Linked DNA regions of Ovis aries. The protein of the gene in region 3 interacts with the protein of the main gene of each other region in a biochemical or structural test. Links are inferred from orthologs where the notes say so. Each region holds a gene or a part of one and is shown on either strand. Other genes may lie near its edges.

Evidence for each region. The genes of interacting proteins can lie anywhere in the genome.
Region 1: the proteins of CREBBP (region 3) and KLF1 form a complex in vitro, tested with the Homo sapiens proteins (2 studies listed by BioGRID and IntAct, with this or other methods). The link is inferred for Ovis aries from reciprocal best matches to the Homo sapiens genes CREBBP and KLF1.
Region 2: the proteins of CREBBP (region 3) and NKX2-1 form a complex in vitro, tested with the Homo sapiens proteins (2 studies listed by BioGRID, with this or other methods). The link is inferred for Ovis aries from reciprocal best matches to the Homo sapiens genes CREBBP and NKX2-1.

Annotation. Positions count from the first base shown.
Region 1 is NC_056058.1:10,971,737-10,976,355, reverse strand, and holds the start of KLF1 (Krueppel-like factor 1), read right to left. Parts: upstream 3,092-4,619; 5' UTR 3,031-3,091; coding exon 2,944-3,030; intron 2,290-2,943; coding exon 1,449-2,289; intron 1-1,448. UniProt on the Homo sapiens protein: Transcription regulator of erythrocyte development that probably serves as a general switch factor during erythropoiesis. Is a dual regulator of fetal-to-adult globin switching.
Region 2 is NC_056071.1:44,440,626-44,445,122, reverse strand, and holds the start of NKX2-1 (homeobox protein Nkx-2.1), read left to right. Parts: upstream 1-1,406; 5' UTR 1,407-2,077; coding exon 2,078-2,178; intron 2,179-2,450; exon of another isoform or gene 2,451-2,549; coding exon of another isoform or gene 2,550-2,626; intron 2,627-3,126; exon of another isoform or gene 3,127-3,215; intron 3,216-3,318; coding exon 3,319-3,704; intron 3,705-4,497. UniProt on the Homo sapiens protein: Transcription factor that binds and activates the promoter of thyroid specific genes such as thyroglobulin, thyroperoxidase, and thyrotropin receptor. Crucial in the maintenance of the thyroid differentiation phenotype.
Region 3 is NC_056077.1:3,652,675-3,656,670, reverse strand, and holds part of CREBBP (CREB-binding protein), read left to right. Parts: intron 1-365; coding exon 366-483; intron 484-1,001; coding exon 1,002-1,173; intron 1,174-1,454; coding exon 1,455-1,499; intron 1,500-3,573; coding exon 3,574-3,698; intron 3,699-3,996. UniProt on the Homo sapiens protein: Acetylates histones, giving a specific tag for transcriptional activation. Mediates acetylation of histone H3 at 'Lys-18' and 'Lys-27' (H3K18ac and H3K27ac, respectively).

The sequences.
Region 1 (4,619 bases), on a different chromosome or scaffold from region 3:
AGGGTGAGGCCGGTGAGGCGCCCAGATCATGAAATTTAAGAAGGCTTTCACTCTCGGGGATGGCCTGAATCTACACCCAGAACCGACGTCTGCGACCTCTGTACCTCTTCTGTACCTGCTGGCACCAGGCTCCTTTTCATTTCCCGGGCACAAGTCGCGCTGTCTATGCTGCTGGCCCTGCTTCCGGTGTCCTCACGTCCTGCCCCAGTGTACTAATGCCCTCCCAGTTTTTGTCCTTTGGCACTGCTCCCTGTGTTCCAGGCTCTTTACTGTACCAGGGGACCCTCCAGCTGCTCTTCAATCCTGTTGTTGGCCTTGATCCTTGAGCCCCGAAATCCAATTCGTGTTCCACGCCCTGTCCCGGGTAATTACTTCTTTCCCTCAGCTAGACTTGGCCCCTCCTCCCTATGTTCCTGGATAGGTCTGTACACGTGGCCCCATCACCCCTAGGCACAGGCCTCCTTCCTCCTCCTCCTGGCCCTCTATTCCATGTCCCAGCCCTTCTTTGGCTCCTTGGGTCCCCAGCTTTTCCTCCTGTGCCCACCCTCCTCTGTTTCCAAGCTATTTATCTTCAGACTCCAGGAACTGCCTCTGCATCTGGGCCCCTCAAACTAAACCTCCTGAGCTCCAGCACGCCCCCTACAGTCTGGCTAAGCCACTCCCTCTTTATATTCCTGGCTACGGCCCCTGAAAGGCTTCCCAGATGAAAAGTAAGTCGCACACTATTTGTCTTTGCGGTCCCCTGGACTGTAGCTTGCCCAGCTCCTCTGTCCATGGAATTCTCCAGGCAGGAGTATTGGAGTGGGTTGTCATTTCTTTCTCCAGGGGATCTTCCCGAGCCAGGGATCGAACCCGGGTCTCTGCACTGCAGGCAGATTCTTTACCAACCGAGCCCCAGGCTGCGCAGTGGTAAAGAATCCGCCTGCGGATGCAGGAGACGCAGGAAAGGCGAGTTCGATCCCTGGATCTGGGAGACACCCCCCCCCCCCCGCCCCACGGCAGAGAGTACAGTCCATTGGGTGGCAAAGAGTCGGACACGTCTGAGCACGGCGGTCCCTGAACCCCTTACTCCCACTTGCCCCAAACCTGAACCCTGCGTCTTTGGCCCTGTCCTTGGTATTCCGCCTTTCTCGCCCGCGGCCCCTCCTCTAGCCCCGCCCCTACACAGCTTGCCGGGCTCTCTGCTTTTCGGCACTTCCTTGGTCCAGGTCTTAGCCGTTGGTTTCCTGAAATGTTTTCCGAGTTCTCTCTCTGTCCCCACCCGCCTTCCCCTTTGCTCTTCGGCTGACTCCTGAAGTTCCAAGCATCCCAGCTCCCTCGGCGTAGCCCTTTGCTTCGACTTTGCTTTAGCCCTTCCCCTTGCTCCAGTTTCTAGCTCCTCGACAGCTCCCAGCTCCCAAGGCCCCGCCCAGCCCGCCCAGCCCCTGCACCGGGGCCCGCCCCCTCACCTGTGTGCGTGCGTAGATGCGCCTTCAGGTGCGAGCTCTTGGTGTAGCTCTTGCCGCATCCCGGGTGCGTGCACGTGTGCGCAGCCTGCCTCTTGCGTGCCCAAGATCGCCGGCTGCGCTTGGATGGGGCGGCCTCCGCGGTCCCTCCTGGGTCTCCTGTAGTCCCCCCGAGTCCTGCACCCGTCGTCCCGGGCCCTAGACAACTCAGGAAGGAGTGGGGCGAGGCGGGGCCAGGTGCCGGCGCCTGGAGCCCGCGGAAGAGCTGGAAATGCCCTTGGTACTGCGGCATCGGGTACAGCGCGGGGTACCCGGACAGCAGCCCGTAGGGGGCGCCCGGCGCTGCAGACACTGAAAGCCCGGTCCTCGGGAAGTAGCTGCCGGAGGAACCCGCGCCCGGTCCCGGGTACAACGGCTGCAACGGCAGCGCTTTGGGCTCGGGGGTCGGGATCAGGGATGGGCCCACGAAGGTATCGGGAGCCGGGGTTCGTGGGGCCGGGCGCGCCCAGCCCAGGTGCTCCTCAGGGCCCAAGAGCCCAGCCACCAGCCCCGGGCCGTCCGCATACGCGCCCAGAGTCTCGGGCGGCGGTGGGAATTGCGCTCCGGAACCCTCTCCGGGCGCCAGAGCGCAAGGCTGAGGCGCGCAGGTCTGGGGCGCACCGCCGGGCTCTGAGCACGGGAAGTTGGTGAAGAGGAGATCCAGGTCCCAGGGGGTAGCTGCGTCCCTGTCATCATCTTCGTCCTCCCCAGGTGCGTTCTCCAGCTCAGGCCTCACGTGGAGGGGTGGTCCAGTATGGTTGGGGGGGCCCGGGCCCAAGTCCTGCACGTCTTCAGAGCGCCACCACTGGGGGAAGGAGCCGGTAACATGGAGCTTCAGCGGACACCAAGGTATCCTGTCCATAGACGGTGGGGGCCGGATGCCCTGATGGGGGCAGGCTGGCCAGAGGCTCCGTAAAGGGGTCTTGTTTGCTTCTCTGTCATGCCAGTTTGTCCCACTCCCTCACACTTGTCCGTCTCCCCCCCTCAGCCCCCCCAGCTCCAGAGACGTCTATCGGGTCAGGCTGGAGACAGGAGATAAAGCTTATATTATCTAGAGTCTCCTGCCACGCTCAGGCATGGGGGAAGGGTTGGCAGAACCAAGAATGGAAGGCTAGGGGAGGCTCAGCCTTGCCTCAGTTTCCCCCAAGAATCTTCCTCCCCTTCCAGGTCCCCTAACAAGATTAATTCCTGGGTGTCCCCTCACCACAGCTGTCATTTCCCTCTTATATCTGGGAGTGTCTCACTGAGCCTAGATCCCTGTGTTCTGTTCCCAGCCTCAGTCTCCCATGACAGAAATAGGACCTTAGACCAAGTTCAGATCCCTGGCCTGCACTGAGGACTCCCGGTCCTGAGCAGGGCAAGATGTGAATTCCAGGGCAAGATGCAGACCCGGCCCCCCAATTCTGTGGCCAGGACCCAGAACCCCTGCCGGCCCATCTAGACCCCCACCTGACCCCACCTTGAGGATGTCTTCTTGTGTGTCCGAGAAGGGGCCCAGGGCGGTCAGCGTGCTGATGGAGGGCAAGGCGGTCTCCGCTGCAGCCATGGCTGGCTGGTGCCCACCCTGGGGCTCAGGCCTCCTCTCCCTTGGCGGCCTCGTGGGCTCTGAGGCTCTGATGGCCCCTTGAAGGGCTCCTCTCTGCCCTCAGCTGATTGGCTGCAGCCCCTGATAAGGGCCAGGCGAAGGCGGGGGTCACCGTTTCTGGGGAACAGACTTCACCCAGGCCTGTTCAGGGCTGAGTCTTGAAGACTGACCGTGTATCTGAAGCCAATCAGATGTTCAGGGTCTAAGGGTTCAGGGGATAGGGGTTCAGGAGACGGGGGTTCAGGGGTTGGGCAGAGTGAGGCAATGTGTTCCCAAAGAAGGAGAAACTTGGAGGCCTGTTCTCAGCTACCTTCCTGGAGAAGAGGTGATGGGCACAATGGGGATTCTAGGAAGGAGCTTCAAGACCCCCTTGCCCCTGACCAGGGCCTTGCAGCTCTCCCCTTCACCATAAACAGCAGCTACCATGCTGATGGCGGGACTTGGCATGAACTCCCTGCCAAGTCAAGCATTATCAGACTCCCCAGACGTTGGAGGCTGCTATCAGGTGGGGGCCCAGAACAGCCAAGGCTCTGTCCCTGGTGAGTGGGAGGGCCAGGGGCTGGGGATTAACTTGGTTTTCAATTTCCTGGGTTGTGAGCTCCCCAGGTCTGAGACCAGTGGCAGGAGAGGCCCCTGCCAATCAGTGGTCACTGTTTACCGTGGACAGCCCTCACCCCACCTCAGGCGACTTGCAGGGGGAATGGGGAGGCTGAGGCTGGAGCAACTACAACTGCTCTAGATGGGGCGGCGGGGTTTGGGACGAGGAGGCCACCTACTCGCCTGGGGGGGATGGGACTGTTGCATCAGGCCATAGGAAGTACTTGATTGGGAGGTGACCCAATTACTACTTCCCTTGTGGCTCAGCTGGTGAAAAATCTGCCTGCAATGCAGGAGACCTGGGTTTGATCCCTGGGTTGGGAAGATCCCCTGGAGAAGGGAAGGGCTACCCACTCCAGTATTCTGGCCTGGAGAATTCCATGGACTGTATAGTCCATGGGGTTGCAAAGAATTAGACGTGACTGAGCAACTTTCACTTTCTACCTCACAGTGGGGAGAGATCTAGGTTCTGCAACAGAGACTTCCACCATGGTGCCCAGGGATTCCAGGTGATGACACAGACATATAGTTCACAGTCGCACACAGACATTATGCAATTGTATAATGACACAAATTCCTAAAGGAAATCAGTCCTGGGTGTTCATTGGAAGGACTGATGCTGAAGCTGAAACTCCAGTACTTTGGCCATCTCATGAGAAGAGCTGACTCATTGGAAAAGACCCTGATGCTGGGAGGGATTGAGGGCAGGAGGAGAAGGGGACGACAGAGGATGAGATGGCTGGATGGCATCACCGACTCAATGGACATGAGTTTGAGTGAACTCCGGGAGTCGGTGATGGACAGGGAGGCCTGGCCTGCTGCAATTCATGGGGTCGAAAAGAGTTAGACACGACTGAACGACTGAACTGAACTGAACTGAAACAAGTGGGCTTCCCAGGTGGTGCTAGTGGCAAAGAACTCACCTGCCAATGTAGGAGACATAAGAGATGTAG
Region 2 (4,497 bases), on a different chromosome or scaffold from region 3:
TATTCTTGGCAGTGAAGCGCAGCTGGGGAAAGGTGCGGAGCTGTGTGTGTGTGTGTGTGTGTGTGTGTGTGTGTGTGTGTGTGTGTGTGTAGGGGCAGAAGAGGCAGGTGCCTCAAGATGCTGCGATGGCCCACGCCAAGTCGAGACAAGAACTGGTGCTAGCGCGCGCAGCCCAATCCCGGCTGCGGCAGGGAGGGGGCGGGGGACAGGGACCCTTACCCTCCACTCCCTCCCTCGAGCTCCCGCTCCCGCTCCGCTCAGTGCCTGAACCCAACGCTAGCCAGCTACCTAAGTGGCTCCGAGTCCTTTCCCTACAGTAAGCTTGGGGTGGGGGCGGGGAACTGTCAGCCACGTGCCTGCTCCGGAGCTGAAAGCTGCGAGGGGACGAAGGCCGAGGAGGCATGGCTCAAGGACTGCGGAAGATTCACCCCGCTAGTACTTTCATGCACCCTGTCTTACTTGGACCTTACAAAAACCTGGTGAAGAATGACCTCCATTTCTAAATGGCATTGAAACCAGGAGAGACTACAACGTCTACACCTAGTGTTTCTTACATTTAGTAATAATATAAAGTAATGGAGAGGGAGAAGACTCGAGACTCGGAGACCCTTCCCACCTTGGCATAAAGACCCTAGTTGAGGCGCAGGCCCAGGGCTGGGGGCTGGCCTGCACACAAGACCTATATTCAGTTTTGTCTGCTCTCTACAGTATTGTCCTCTGTCCTTTCACTTGGATCCAGCGTCATCCTCTTCCCTCCTTGCTCCCTGGACTTAGGCATCACTTTGACCAAGGCACCCTCGATGGGAGTCTGAGTCCTTCTTGAGAGCGCCCCCCAGAGAAGTCTCCTGGTGGGAAAGGCAATGAGCCGATCTGGCACCCGTCTTTCGAAGCATAACTGAAGAGTGCTGTCTCGACCCTCAAACTCCTGCTTGCCTGCCCCAAAGCAGCCAAGGGGGCTGGGAAATATGGCCCTGTGCAGTAGGCAGGAGATGGGGTGCCCTGAGCTTTCTCTCCCCACTTAAATAAGGTGGCGAGGAAACTGAATGTTAGCATGTAAGTTGGCTTTGTATTGAGGGAGTGCAGTTCTAAAGGGGAGGATTGAAATCTTGAAATAAAAAGCCAATAAACAAGTTTCCTTAGTACAATTGCTATTAATGGAAAAGGCATCTAACCTGCTGAATTAAATCGTTCAAAAGCGCCTTTTCATCATCAGGAGCTCCTCTACAAGGAAGGAAACGAAAATATGAAAACAAAAACCCAAATCGAGAAGCCTCCTTAACCGGCCCCCGCAGTGTCTTGACGGCCCCTGCCCGACCAGGGAGCGCTCCGCCCTCCCAACCCCTAGCGCGGAGAAGGAGGCTGAAACAGCCAAGGAGAAAAGAAAACAGAATAAAAACAAAACGTTTAAAATCCAAGAGGAAAAGTCGGAGCGGGTCTCAGGATCTGCACAGCGGAGGGCTCGGCTCCGTGGTCCACTCTGCTGGAGGCCGGGGCCTGGCCGGAGCCGCGCGGCGGATTCCTCCGGCCCGCCCGCCCGCTCGGAAAGCGCAGCCTACAGCTCCTCCTCTCCAGGCGCCCAAGGACCCTCAAGGCGCGGGGCTCACACTTGAAGCCTGGGAACGCGCAGACAGGAAACCCACTTCCTCCTAAGCAGTTTCTTGCTAGCCGGCTGAGAGGCGCCCAATTGAAACAGAATGATCCTCATCTACTAATATCCAGCGTGGCCACAAAGCGACTGGCCATTTACGCCGCCACTTTAAACAAAGATATTTGGTTATTCCCGGGAAGCAAGTGCACTTTTGCATGGCTGAGCTCCGGGTGGAGGCAAGCCTCAGCCCAGCCTCCCGCCAGCTGGGCTGCTCACGCCAGGGGATTCGCCCCCTCCCGGCCGGCTAGTCCAGCCGGGGTTCAGGCTCAGTCCCACCCGGCAACAGGCGAGCCGGTTCTCACGCCGCTCCCTGCCCAAGGCCTCCCTGAAGCACTGAGGGGGAAAAACAGTGTGACCCCGGGCTGGGGTGCTGGGCTGTGATGTCCTCGGAAAGTCACCTCCCGTCCCAGACCTCCCCGTGTCTGGACGATGGGCGAGGGTCGGGGACACCAGGTTTGTTCGAGGTGGAGCGACTTCAGCGACGTCCCTTCGCATGAATTCCCGCAGCTTCTCAGCTCGGGCGGCCAGTGGTGGGTCCTTGCCTTAGCTGGGGGTGGGGGTGGGGAAGCATAGCCGTGTGGGGGTTGGGGGGCGGGGTGGGCATGAGGCCGAAGGCCCTGGGCCTCTGAGAAGACCCTGAGCTGGAGGGAAGGGGGGGCGCGGGGATCTGGGACAGCCTGTCGGCGGCAGCCGATCCCCCCTTGCTCAGCGCCCCCTCCACCCGCGGGGATTCTCTCTCGGGTAGGGGGGAAAGGGGGCGGGGAGCAGAGGTGTCCTTCTGACGGAGGCAGAAGAGGCAGACAGACTGACAGACAAGCAGACCAACAGTGCGGCCCCGGGGTGCGGCCCCTGACTCCCGAGCTCCTTTGGTGGCGACTGGGGCTCGGCGCCGCGAAGCCAGATGTGGTCCGGAGGCAGTGGGAAGGCGCGGGGCTGGGAGGCCGCGGCGGGAGGGAGGAGCGGCCCCAGCAGGCTCAGGTGAAACCCCCACCCCGTCCTCGGCCCACTCCCTGTCCCCGCCCCGGGAGCCCCGACCGAATGGGAAAGTGGTTCACTTTGTAACTCCGCAAGTTGGTTGCAAAGCAGCATTCACCTTCCTTCCTCCCCAGCAGCCCTCCTCCTCGGCTACTCCCCATCCCACCTCTTGCCCTCCCCTCTCTCGGTTCCCTCCTCCTTTTCCTCCCCCCGACTCCGCACCCCCCCCTCCCGCGCGCCAGCGTACCCCACAAAAATGAGGGTAGGGGGTCCGGGGGAGAAATGCTTTGGGTCGCGTCTCTGCCTCTCTCTCTCTCTGTCTCTCTCTCTCCCTCTTTGAGACCTAAAAATCCTGACAAGTGAAACTTAAAGGTGTTTACCTTGTCATCAGCATGTAAGCTAATTATCTCGGGCAAGATGTAGGCTTCTATTGTCTTGTTGCTTTAGCGCTTACGCCCCGCCTCTGGTGGCTGCCTAAAACCTGGCGCCGGGCTAAAACAAACGCGAGGCAGCCCCCGAGCCTCCACTCAAGCCAATTAAGGCGGACTCGGTCCACTCGGTTACGTGTACATCCAACAAGATCGGCGTTAAGGTAACACCAGAATATTTGGCAAAGGGAGAAAAAAAAAAAAAAAGCAGCGAGGCTTCGCCTTCCCCCTCTCCCTTTTTTTTCCTCCTCTTCCTTCCTCCTCCAGCCGCCGCCGAATCATGTCGATGAGTCCAAAGCACACGACTCCGTTCTCAGTGTCTGACATCTTGAGTCCCCTGGAGGAAAGCTACAAGAAAGTGGGCATGGAGGGCGGCGGCCTCGGGGCTCCGCTGGCGGCTTACAGGCAGGGCCAGGCGGCACCGCCGGCCGCGGCCATGCAGCAGCACGCCGTGGGGCACCACGGCGCAGTCACCGCCGCCTACCACATGACGGCGGCGGGGGTGCCCCAGCTCTCGCACTCCGCCGTGGGGGGCTACTGCAACGGCAACCTGGGCAACATGAGCGAGCTGCCGCCGTACCAGGACACCATGCGGAACAGCGCCTCGGGCCCCGGATGGTACGGCGCCAACCCAGACCCGCGCTTCCCCGCCAGTAAGTGAGGCCGCCCCACCGCGGGGCCGCGGGTTGAGCGCAGGAGGCGCGGGGAAGACCCGCCGGGAAGGCGCGGCGCCCGCCGGCTGCGCGCTGGGCATCAGAGGTGGGCGGCCGGGCAGTGGCGCCAAGGAGTCGGGTGTAGGAGCTGGGGAGTCTGCCCTGGTTGAGCTGAGGGGTCCAAGAAGAGGGACTCGGTAGCCCTGGAGTCCTGAGGGCAGGAACTAGTATTTGGCGTTTGCCAGATGCGGCCAATTGGCCGCTCTGCTCCGGCGCGGGAGAGCGCGGAGGCAGGCGTCCCCCCAGCTAAGAGAGCCGGGATGAGCAGAGGTCGGAGGGGCGCGGCCTGGCCGGGAGGGAGGGTGCCCTGCTGGGACGCGCTCAGGCCCCGGGCCTGGCCCGCTCTCCAGGCTAGGCAGGTGGGAGGGCGCGCGGCTCCAGACGGGGTTCTAAATGGGCCGAGCCGGTGCCCTCAGCGGGCTGACAGGAGCCAGCGGCCAAGGCACAAAGAGTCTGGGGTCTCAAGCTTTCGAAAATGAACACCTCCCTCTCCCAAGCTCCCACGGCTGGGTGTCTACCGTTAGACCCCGGCTCCTGACGTGAGCCCGGTTTGCTGCCGGCTAACCCCACGAATCCGGAGGGCTGGGCAGGAAAGGAACAGGGAAGGTTTTCTCCACTCTGCTTTTATGGGTAAAGCACTGAGACAGAGGGAGGTAGCCGGGGTTGAGGCGGGGAGCTCTGCAGTACACCCCCTCGACGGCGCGGCCTCGAGGCAGGCGCCTTCGATCGCCGC
Region 3 (3,996 bases):
GGGTGACATTAATCAACTCGATTCCGATGGAGTTTTCTTTTTTTTCTCCTTCATTATTTTAATCAAAATTTTTTGTACTTAGTAGTTTAAAGATTAGGAATTCAAAATCATATTATTCTTGAGTTGGTCAAGCACTTATTGTTAATAGCAAAATATTGTTGTGTTTGATTTGTGGATAAATTGGCAGATCAGCATTGTCTCCAGAGAGTGACTGCGCATGAACTAGGCAAGAGATTGGGGGTCTCTCAGCAATGTACTGTGCCCAGAGGTAGACCGCGGTTTCTTCTCTTCCCGGGTCACGTCTGAAATGGCAGGATGTTGACATTGTACTAAAAGTAGGTTGAGAGTACGCGCTGTCCTTTCAGTGTCCAAGCCATCTTCCCGACACCTGACCCTGCAGCCCTGAAGGATCGCCGCATGGAGAACCTGGTGGCCTACGCTAAGAAAGTAGAAGGGGACATGTACGAGTCTGCCAACAGCAGGGTGGGTCAGCGTTCGCGTTCCAGCCGCATGGCCCCCGGGTGACCTGTGACTGCAGGTCTGGACGTGGGGAGGAGGGGGGCTTCCATCAGCCTGCTGGTCTCCTCGCCTGAGGACACTGACCAGGGAGATGTCCCAGCTAAGACTTGAGGTCCTCCCTGCATACCTCTCTTGGTTTGTAACTGCAAAATCTTAAAGTGTCCCCACTACAGGGGTAAATGAAGTTTTTCTAATTTGTGGGTATACTTTATAGTGGAGTGTTGTTATACTATGTTGTCACCTGTGTCAGTGAGTATGCAAGAAGAGGTTCAGCTGTGGAATGAACTGTCATGAGGACTTAGTACCCCCTGACTGTTAAGTCACATAGCATCCCTGGGCTTTGGTTTATGAGTTAGAAGTGCTGAATACTTTACCCAGTGTAAATAATTTTAATTTAAAAGTTCATTAGTTTGTTAGACCCTACAAAACCAGATCAGTTGTTTGTTTGCAAATAACTAGTATTGAATGTTGCTGCTTTTTAGGATGAATACTATCACTTACTAGCAGAGAAAATCTACAAGATTCAAAAAGAGCTAGAAGAAAAGCGGAGATCACGTTTACACAAACAAGGCATCTTGGGTAACCAGCCAGCCTTACCAGCCCCCGGGACACAGCCGCCTGGAATACCCCAGGCGCAGCCTGTGAGACCTCCGAGTAAGACTGCATGTCCCGCCCCGGTCTGTCCCCTCTGTGTCTTTCCGCGTTTGGTGTGCGTTTCTCAGCACACAGAGTTACATTCCCAGGAAACCTGTTGCTTTGAAAGCATGTGGTAGTGGCTGTGTGCTGTGGTGGCCTATGTTTAGACGTTGAGTCTCACAGAAAGGCCCTTTAAAGGGTGTGCTGGCATCAGAGTGCACAGCACTTTTGGATCTGCTCTTCTCTTTAAATCTAAAGGATTATTTTAAGTAACCTCCTTTTTTTTTCTGCCATTGTAGATGGGCCCATGCCTCTTCCAGTGAATCGTATGCAGGTTTCTCAAGGTATTTAACTGTTGTTGTAAATCATATTTTAGCTTAACATTCTGCCACACAAAGTTTATTGGTTTGTCCTCTTCCCTGTGTATTTCTTTCTCTCCATTTTTCCTTCAGTTTTTCTTTTCTAATTGCTTCCCCCACCCCCCTACCCCAGTGATGAGCATGGTGCATGTCCACAGGTAGTATGAACATCTGTTGCATTTGGAAGTTTGGAAATCACAGCAAAGCTCTCCAAGGAGATCAGAAGTAGGCGTTCACTTTTTTTTTTTTTTTTTTTTTGATGGACAAGAGGAAACATTTCTCTTGGAAGAGTCTCAAAAAAAAAAAAAAGCATTGTAGGAGGGGGAAAGAAGCATTTCTGAGCATTTGTAAGTAGGGTGTCAGGCCTATCCTAAAGCCCGAGCACCCTGATTAGGGGGGTGGGAGGGACGGGTGAGGCTGCTCTGGGCTACTGAGCACAGGCGCCATGCCTACCAGGCTCGCCGAGGAGGGCCTGTGCTCCTGGCAACTAGTCTGAGCAGCTTCCAGAGGTTCTTTCTCAAGTTGAGAGTCTTTGGTCGTGGTTGAAGCAGTCATTTGAGTTTGGGGGTGAGGGTCATTTCAGAGTTTTTACAGCTCTTGGCAGGTTGAGACCTGAACAGTAGGATGTTTCTGCTGATTGTGAAATGAGATGGTGACATTATCCAGCAGATTCCAAAGCAGGGCCTTGCTGCTGTGTGTGGAGTAGTTCAGGGAGAGAGTGGTCATTCTAACAGCTGTGGTGATCGTCCTTCACACCACACCAGACCTGGTGGAGCTGCTGATGATACTGCGGAGGAAAGTTTTCAGGGACTTGTTCAGATGAACCAGATGTGAAGAGTGAAAGAAATCAAGAAGGCAGAGAAATTGAGCCTTCGGAGGGGCAGGGTGCTGTATCAGGGACAGGGTGGACGAGTCTGCTGCTCTGGGGTCTGAGAAGGGGGCTGTTGAGCAGAGTGTGGACGGAGGAGCCTTTGAAGGAAGCGCTTGCATGCCCCTGTCAGCGGCACGTCCAGGTCTGTGGAGAGGAACTTGTTACGGTGCCGCTTCTTCGTGCATCTTTTTCGCTTGCTCAGTAAAATCTCCTCTTGTCAATAAAACCCTCCAGAAGAGCAGGGCCCTTTGTTCTGTGGGCTTCCTGGAAAGTCCTAGTTACTCAGGGGGACATTTCTCACTGGTGCTGAGGGGACCGGTGCTCTGTGATGCCCTCTCCTGCTCCACAGTTAAGGCTGTGCCTCAGGATTCTGTTCACGGCCACAGGACTGGGCTAAGTCCTGAGACTTACTGAAGCAGCATTTACATTGAGCTCAGAGTTCACAGAGGATTGTGGGAAATTACAGGCAGAGAGGCTCCGTGGCCCAGAGTCGGGTAGCGGCTGGGGAGGGTTGCAGTTCACGGTGTGGCACCCCTGGGAAGGCCGAGGCAGCCATGAAAGTGAGACCTTTCCAGTCGGCAGAGAGGAGGCTGAAGCTGAGAACCGCCAGCCCTTGGGCACTTTCTAAATGCTTAATGTCCTTGCAAAATTAAAGCCAAGTTTTGAGTCTTATCCCAGATTCTAACAATAAATGTAAGCCCAGCCAAAGAGCTGGAGGGCCTGGGGTGATGGGAGCGGGCTTCCTGCCGGGAGTCAGGTGGTCCAGAAGGCTCTGAGGGGTTGGCTCAGAGGGTGCCCTGGCCTCAGCAGGCCTCCTCCATGCGTGGTGGGTGCTCCTTCCCACCGCCCCACCCACCCATCTGCCCCGTCACTCGGACCCTGGGATGCTCTGGCGCCGAGTGCTGCCTTGGCTTCAGCTGCTCGCAGCTTCCCTGACGCGCCACCTTCCTCTCCTCACGCTGCCCTGCCTGCTCCCCACCCACCGCCTCCCCACCCCATGGTGGTGCCGTTGTTCCTGGATCTGAGCAGTCTGTTGCTCAGCCATCTTTTCTGATTGACTGGTCTCCTTTCAGTTGTGTATGTAGTGTGTGTGTTCCATCTTATTTGGCTTCAAGTTTCTCTAGCAAATCGTCATTCTGTTTTCCTGTGGGTGCTTTTCCTAATGAACTGTTGTGGGTACGTTTACAGGGATGAATTCATTTAACCCAATATCCTTGGGGAACGTACAGTTGCCACAAGCGCCCATGGGACCGCGTGCGGCATCCCCCATGAACCACTCTGTCCCGATGAACAGCATGGGCTCTGTTCCAGGGGTAAGTGCTTGTCCTCCGCTCAGCTGTGCTGAGACGGGCTTGCTGCAACAGGACAGTTCTCCCGCGGGAGCTTGGAGGTTGGGAATCCTGTGGCGCTTGTTCCTTTGGATAGTGTTGTGCTTTGGCAACTCCATCTCGCCCTCTGGTCCTTATTACTACAAGCATTATTTGACCGTCACTTATTTTTACTGAAATGAGAGATTCCTTGGCACCTGTGACTTTGTGAGAAGATGGGAGTTCTGGGGATGTGTGACAGAATGAGAGGAAAGGTGTCAGCATCCGCTGGCTCTCAGAGCGT